Linked DNA regions of Caenorhabditis elegans. The protein of the gene in region 1 purifies or fractionates together with the protein of each later gene. This does not show direct contact. Each region holds a gene or a part of one and is shown in the gene's direction. Other genes may lie near its edges.

Region 1 (3,797 bases):
GAGCAACGATCTATGGATTTGTCTAATTTGTGGAAATATAGGTTGTGGAAGATACGCAGAACAACATGCACAACGACATTGGGAGCTCACTTCACATACTTATAGTTTGAAAGTTGGAGGAGAACGAGTCTGGGATTATGCTGGAGACAATTACGTGCATAGATTGATTGAAAATGGAGCTGATGGGAAACTTGTCGAGTATCAGAGAGAATCGAATGCGGTATGTTCATACTGGACCAAAAAAAAATTGTTGATTTAAAAACAATAATTTTTTGTTAAAAAACTGGTGGAAACAAAAAAAAAGAATGTTTTGAGGCTTCAAAGTGCCGAAAATCAACCTTTTCGTATAACTAATTTGAATTTCGCGCACTAATTAGTTTTGAAAATTCTCGGCCGTGTACTCCTCTCGGGCAATGAATCAATTAATTTTTTTGGATGCAATTTTTCGGGTTTTCTCATTGAATTCTATTGGTTTTTGTTTGAAAACAAATATATATATATATATATATGCGTCTGTAAATGCGTTTCAAATTAATTATCACACAAATACTTTTGTTCTGCCTAGGAATAAGTGCTAAAATCCTGTAATATATTCATTTTCCCCTTTATCGTTGAATAATAAGTATGATCATGTTCTAAAAGTGTTTGAAATCCAAAGTGTTTGATTTTTTACTTTATTTTTGCTATCATAAAGCAAAATTTTTTTTTTTTCGTGAAAAAATACCTTTGAAAAACAGAAAAAAAAGCAAAAAAAAAGTCCAGCACTGTTTTGTGGCCTTTTCATTCTATACAGAAAATTTATAAATTCATTTAAAATTTTGTTTTCAAGTATTCTGACTAAATAGACCAGAATGTTTAGTCTTCACTCAAATTCCCTAAAAATGTTGAAAATTGCAGAGCTTTGATGACAAAAACCAAAAGGGTGGAGACAAGCTTGAGGGAATCAAACTCGAATACACTCTACTCCTGACCAGTCAACTTGAGGATCAACGGAAATATTTTGAAGGTCTACGTCACGATATGGAGCAAACGATGTCAAAAATGGAGAAAACTGCTTATGCTCAAGTAGAGAATCTCGAGCATCAACTGACGGAACGATCAACTGAATTGAAATCATTAAAAGGAGATTTAGATGATACTGTGACGGCGAGAAAAGTGGCAGAGAAACGAGCAACGCAGACAAATGAAAAAGTGAATAAGCTTGCAAATGAGTTGAAAGATGAACGTGAAATAAATCAAATGTTGAGAAAAGATCAGCAAGTGTGGAAAGGTCAAGTGGAAAAGCTTATTGAAAGTCAGAAAACTGCTCGAACCGAGTATGAAAAGGTATTCGTCTAAATAGATTCCCTTGATCTCTTGAAAGCTTTTCTTTTCAGAAAATCGAAGATCTTCAGTCACAAGTCAATGATCTTTTGATGCATTTTGAAACTCAAAATAAGCTGAAAGAGCAGTTGGATGCTGGAAAAATAACTCAAGAGGTTGGTTAACCAATGCTCGCCACAATAAAAATGTTTAATTTACAGGAAATAACTGAAAGTCAAGTTGAACTCGATTCGTCGTCCTCCTCGTCGAGAAAATTGAACAGAAAGAAGAAAAAGTAGTTGGCATCTCAGGAGATCCATGTCCTATTTAATTTTTGCATATTGAACATTTCTTTAATAGTCTTTTCATATATGGTTAGTCTCACTTGAATATTTATTCGCTTTCTTTCGCGTATCTCATCGAATTTTGTGCGGTATATATGTATGCAGCCGGTAGTTTATTTAATGCATTCGCTTATGAATAAAATGATATCGTTCGAGTGTCTTTTGGTTTCATATTATGTACCATGTTTTCAATCGTTATTAAACGACGAGTCAAAAACTATTTTTCGAATTCCCTCCTCTTTCCTTGCTGACACATTTTCGGTGCTGACGCAACTCTTGTGTTCACTAAGAACGCACACTTCGTTTTAAACGTCTCCGCTGGCCATCATTCTTGTTTCCTTCGATTTTTCTCGATACTTATCTTTTACAAATTATTTTCTCTTTTTTTCAAGATTTCCATCAACTTTTAATATCACTGCTCTCATAATTTCTCGAAACTCTTCGTATTTCTCTAATTCAAAAGTTTTCTGCCGCATTTTTACACTCACTAACCAAGATTATCGATTTTTGGGCAATTTATGACAATTTGGAATCATCTTTTGTGTCGTCCGATAATGAGTTTCGTTCATCAAAAATGCAGAAATATCGGTATAAACAATGTATTAATCTAACATTAAATACAAATTTAACCTCTAGATACGGTTTACCTTGGTAGTAACATTCACCGACTAAATGTGCCTGATAATCTTGTCAAATGGAGCCAAGAATGGTCAGGATACAATCCTCCGGCTCACACCGATCCAAAAGTTGATGGAGCTGTTTGGGCAGACCCAGAAATCGATGAGAAAACGTTCCAACCGTCTTGGAATGCGATCGATGGGAAAATCAATAGAGTGTCATATGTTTGGTGCGTTTATGAGTGTATATACTCAATCAATCAAGAAACCTTCCAGTCAGTACTCATTTGATCCTGTCACCCTTCGCCCACTAAATCCTATTGGACGTACGGGACTTTCTGGTCGTGGTTTGCTTGGTCGTTGGGGTCCAAACCACGCAGCAGATCCGATCGTTTCTAGAACAAACGACAATGGTGATTTGGAGTTTGTTGCAGTTCAACGTCATGACAATGGCGAGTGGGCAATTCCTGGAGGAATGGTGGATGCTGGAGAGCATGTTTCACAAACTCTACGGCGCGAATTCGCAGAAGAAGCAATGCATGGAATTGTCGATTCTGAAAATCTTGATGAATTGTGGAATAATGGTAAAGAGTTATACAGGTGCATTCACAGCTCTTTTATCCCACTCAATGTTTCATTTACAGAGGTTACGTTGATGACCCACGTAACACTGATAACGCATGGATGGAGACTGTTGTTTTCAATTTTCATGATTCAAAAGGCCTTCTGAAAAATGTGGCTCTTCAAGCAGGAGATGATGCTAAAGCTTTACGCTGGATTGCAGTTAATTCAAATGAGCCACTTTACGCTTCTCATTCTCATTTTATTGATCTTCTAAAAGAATCTCATTCTCATTAACTACCACATGTCTCTCTTTTCTCATGTTCTCCTCTTATTTTCGCGTTTCTGTTAGCTATATTCAATTCATAAATGATTTTCATTTCAGAAATGAGCCGTGGAGGAGGTGGTGATCGTCGTGCCGCACCGGATATCAATGGTCTAACTTCGCTGAAAATCGACAACTTGTCGTACCAAACAACGCCCAACGATTTGCGTCGAACTTTTGAGCGATACGGAGACATTGGAGATGTTCACATTCCAAGGGACAAGTACTCTCGCCAATCGAAAGGATTCGGATTCGTTAGATTTTATGAGTAAGTTAAATTGGAACTATTGGAGAGAAAACATCAGAAAATCAATATTATTTTAGACGTCGTGATGCTGAGCACGCATTGGACCGCACAGACGGAAAGTTGGTTGATGGACGCGAGTTACGTGTGACTCTTGCAAAGTATGATCGACCATCGGATGAGAGAGGAGGCCGTGGAGGTGGTGGTGGACGTAGAAGGTTAGTATACTCAGTTGATTCCCCTTGTAGTTGTGCTCAAAAATTAGGCGCGAGACTTAATGGAACCCTTGTCTTCCTGACTTATTTATAGAACAGCAGCAGAGCCAGATGTTGCTGAGCTGAGCTGAATTTTTGCTGCTGTTGAAGCTGTAAATGCTTGCTGAGTGACACTTGAGTAGCAGAATT
Region 2 (3,850 bases), 530 kb from region 1:
TTGCAGAAAATATCGATTACATCACAAAGTGAAAGAAGATTCATCGCTTCCTGGAGTTTCTATAATTAAACCAATTGTTGGAAAAGATAATAATTTATACGAGAATATAGAATCATTTTTCACCACACAATATCACAAATATGAACTTTTGTTCTGTTTCAACTCTTCAGATGATGAAGCTGTGGAAGTTGTGAAGTGTCTCATGAAGAAATATCCGAAGGTTGATGCGAAACTTTTCTTTGGTAGGTCAACTGCTTTTCTGGAACATTTTTCTTAAAATCTTTTATTTTTTTAAGGAGGTGAAACCGTTGGACTGAATCCAAAGATCAACAACATGATGCCTGCGTATCGTTCTGCACTTTATCCGCTGATATTAGTTAGTGACAGTGGAATATTTATGCGTTCAGATGGTGTTTTGGATATGGCCACAACGATGATGAGTCATGAGAAAATGGCATTAGTGACACAGACACCGTATTGTAAGGATCGAGAAGGTTTCGATGCGGCTTTTGAGCAGGTAGAACATGGATTCCTTAGAAAGAAATCTATAAGAGCTCTAAATTTTAGATGTATTTTGGAACTTCTCATGGACGTATATACCTAGCTGGAAATTGTATGGACTTTGTCTGTTCCACGGGAATGTCATCAATGATGAAGAAAGAAGCACTTGATGAATGTGGTGGCATTTCTAATTTTGGAGGATATCTTGCAGAGGACTACTTTTTCGGAAGAGAGCTCGCAAATCGTGGTTACAAATCTGCAATATCATCTCACCCAGCTCTCCAGAACTCATCATCAGTATCGGTTTCGTCATTTCTCGATAGAATTTGCAGATGGGTCAAGTTAAGGATTGCCATGTTGCCACACATTCTTCTCGTTGAGCCATTGCAGGTAATTCCAAAATTCACTTTTTTTTAAATCTCCAATATTATAGGATTGCTTCCCGTCTGGTTTAATCATGGCATTCAGTTTGAATCATTTGGTAGGATTGAATATAATGCCAATATTGATACTTCATACTATCTACTGGTTCAGTATGGATTACTCGCTAATGAACAGTATGCAGGTAATATATTTTCTAATAAAATATACATCAACATTTTTCAAATTTCAGAATGGCAAATTGAGCTTCTCTCCACTTCAATTTATGCTCATTTGGCTTTTGCGTGAGCTCACCGCTCCTTTCGTCTTTATCAAAGCTCTTTTACAACCAACAATTCAATGGCGAAACAATGTTTTTCATTTGGCATGGGGTGGACAGATACTTCCACCAAAATGTTGATTGTTTCATTTATTCATTTTATTTCCAAATTTCACTAACCCCAAATTCATCATTCTTGTCTGTGATTCTGTTTCTCAACATTATCGTAAATCCTCTCACTACATCATCTGAATCTTTAAAGTCCGGGTTGTTGTCTCTCCATCAGTTACATTGTTAGCTTCACTCTCCTATGCTAACTGTCTCACATTACGGGTGACATCTGAAATACCATCTTCTGTGCTATTAATACATACACGATGGCCTAATAAAATATTCAGATTCGATTTCCTTAATTTTACGATTATATGAAGCTCAGGTTCAGAAAAATTCCAACTATGTAATTTATATCACCATAAATACAAATATCGAACAATACTATTACCCTGATGCGAAATTTTGCGATGTTTCCTCTAAAAGTACGGTACCCGGTCTCGACGACACATCATTAAATTTTTAACATTAAATGCAAAAAGCTATGCGCCTTTTAAGAGTACTGTAATTTCAAACTTATGTTCCTGCCAGATTGTCATCATTTTTTTTTTCATATTTTCGACAAAAATACATTTATTCATCCTAAAAACTCACATATAACAATACAAACGCTCAACTTTTGAAAAATCGTTGGAAAAAATTCGATAAAAATTCTGCAGCAACATAAGTTTGAAACTACAGTACTCTTTGAAGGCACACACCTTTTTGCATTTAATAACATTTGTCGTGTCGAGACCTTTTTTTCGGCTCAAATACCACATAATTTCGCATATGAGTAATATTCAGAATAACAAAGTTTTCAGATGCTCTCCACTATTCTACGAAACAATTTTGTACGTCGCTCATTTTCGTCCCGGATTTTCAGTCAAAATGAGTACGAAACAGCAGCTGATTCAACATTAGAAAGATTATCAGACTATTTCGATCAAATTGCCGATTCATTTCCGGTTTCCGAACAATTTGATGTATCTCATGCAATGGGAGTTTTGACTGTTAATGTATCGAAATCTGTTGGTACGAGATGGTTCTTGTATTTCTTAAATTAATTACTTAATTTCAGGAACGTATGTTATTAACAAACAATCACCAAATAAGCAAATTTGGTTGTCCAGTCCGATGTCTGGTCCGAAAAGATATGATTTAGAAGAGGAGGGAAAGTTAGTAAAAACACATTTTCATTATTTAAATTGTATATCTTGATCAAAAGCACAACTCCACTAGACCGAATATGATCAAGATGATCGTGTAACGAAAGGTTTCACGAACATCAAAAGAGAAGATTTAGATATATATCAGTTTGCAGACAAATGAGATTAAGCCGAGATGAGTAACATGCAAGTGTCTTATTGCGTAAAGTGCAGAAAAGAGGCGGAGAGGATGAGCACAAATTAACGCTTTTTGATTTCAGATGGACTTATGCACACGATGGTGAACAACTTGACTCGCTTCTAAACAGAGAATTCCGAAAGATTCTGGCCGATGACCGAATCGATTTCTCGCGACATGTCTAATCCGGATTTCATATCATGTGATTTCTATTCTCTCTCGATTTTTCTCTTTTTCTTGCATATTTGATGTATCATGTTTTCTCATGTATTGTAACTTAGTTATATATTGTCTAGATACTTTTCTGGTAAAGTTTTTCTTGCCCAAGCGTTTTTTATACGTTTAATGAAAATGAAACTGTGGAAAAATCTCTGATTATTATCAAAAAGTGCTGACGGATTCAGATTCACGAAAACTTTTCCGTAGAGTCTCCGTTCTAGATTTACGTTAAACAACGCGCGGTTCGTTATTTCGGAGTGTCGTTAGATAACCAAATTTTCTCGCATAATTTCCAAAATGAGAATTTTACAATTTCTGAACGTTTGTGCCAAATTTATTATGTTCTTCTATGTTCCTTATGTTCTAAAATGTTAATTAGTTGATAAATTCGTATTATTCCGATTTTTAAACCGATATCTCAAGCGGTTGCGTTGTCTTTCTGTAAACATGATTAATATCGTCTCATAAAATTTTCAAATTTAGGCGACTCTTCTCCATCTACAACAAAAAAGTCATTTTTACTTGGAGCTTTGCTACTTTTCAAACAAATGCCACGCCTAGCGCTGCGGTAAGATCGTGTATATACTCTAACTAGTTCATAATCGAATTTTCAGACAATACAACTTCTATTACCGCGTGAATGGTGAAAAGGCCGAAGAATTGCTCAAAGAGTATGGCGAAGATGGAGATTTTCTTCTTCGATACAGCGAATCAAATCCGCAAAATTTCTCGATTTCTGTCAGGTTTGTTGTAGTCATTCACTAATAAATTAATACAATTTCGGAAATCGTTTTCAGAGTCGCCGAAGACAAAATTCTGCATATCAAGGTGACAAAGTATGAAAGCGACATGCTCAGTATTTTCGAAGATGAACGGACTACGCCAAATCAATTCGGTTCCATCACCGAACTCGCCGAATTCTACATGGAGTTTCCAGAAAAACTCAGGGAGAAGAATGGACTCTTTCTTGAACTGAAAAAACCTGTTTATGTGCCATATCATCTGGAAGCTTGCGCAGAAGAGCAACGACGAACGCAACTTTATCGCTGGTGG

The links.
Region 2: the proteins of ndx-6 (region 1) and frh-1 fractionate together in Caenorhabditis elegans (co-fractionation; one large-scale study listed by BioGRID). This does not show direct contact.

What each region holds. Positions count from the first base shown.
Region 1 is NC_003280.10:5,388,241-5,392,037, reverse strand, and holds ndx-6 (Putative nudix hydrolase 6), read left to right. Parts: upstream 1-2,156; 5' UTR 2,157-2,200; coding exon 2,201-2,234; intron 2,235-2,282; coding exon 2,283-2,493; intron 2,494-2,539; coding exon 2,540-2,863; intron 2,864-2,907; coding exon 2,908-3,121; 3' UTR 3,122-3,209; downstream 3,210-3,797. Other genes in the region: brap-2 (BRCA1-associated protein homolog 2), read left to right, coding at 1-220, 898-1,326, 1,377-1,478, 1,524-1,601; rsp-4 (putative splicing factor, arginine/serine-rich 4), read left to right, coding at 3,212-3,417, 3,474-3,611. UniProt on the Caenorhabditis elegans protein: Probably mediates the hydrolysis of some nucleoside diphosphate derivatives.
Region 2 is NC_003280.10:5,915,367-5,919,216, forward strand, and holds frh-1 (Frataxin, mitochondrial), read left to right. Parts: upstream 1-2,055; coding exon 2,056-2,266; intron 2,267-2,312; coding exon 2,313-2,409; intron 2,410-2,660; coding exon 2,661-2,763; 3' UTR 2,764-3,198; downstream 3,199-3,850. Other genes in the region: cgt-3 (Ceramide glucosyltransferase 3), read left to right, coding at 7-242, 297-517, 568-891, 935-1,066, 1,115-1,282; Tyrosine-protein phosphatase non-receptor type ptp-2, read left to right, coding at 3,346-3,365, 3,412-3,540, 3,595-3,850. UniProt on the Caenorhabditis elegans protein: Promotes the biosynthesis of heme as well as the assembly and repair of iron-sulfur clusters by delivering Fe(2+) to proteins involved in these pathways.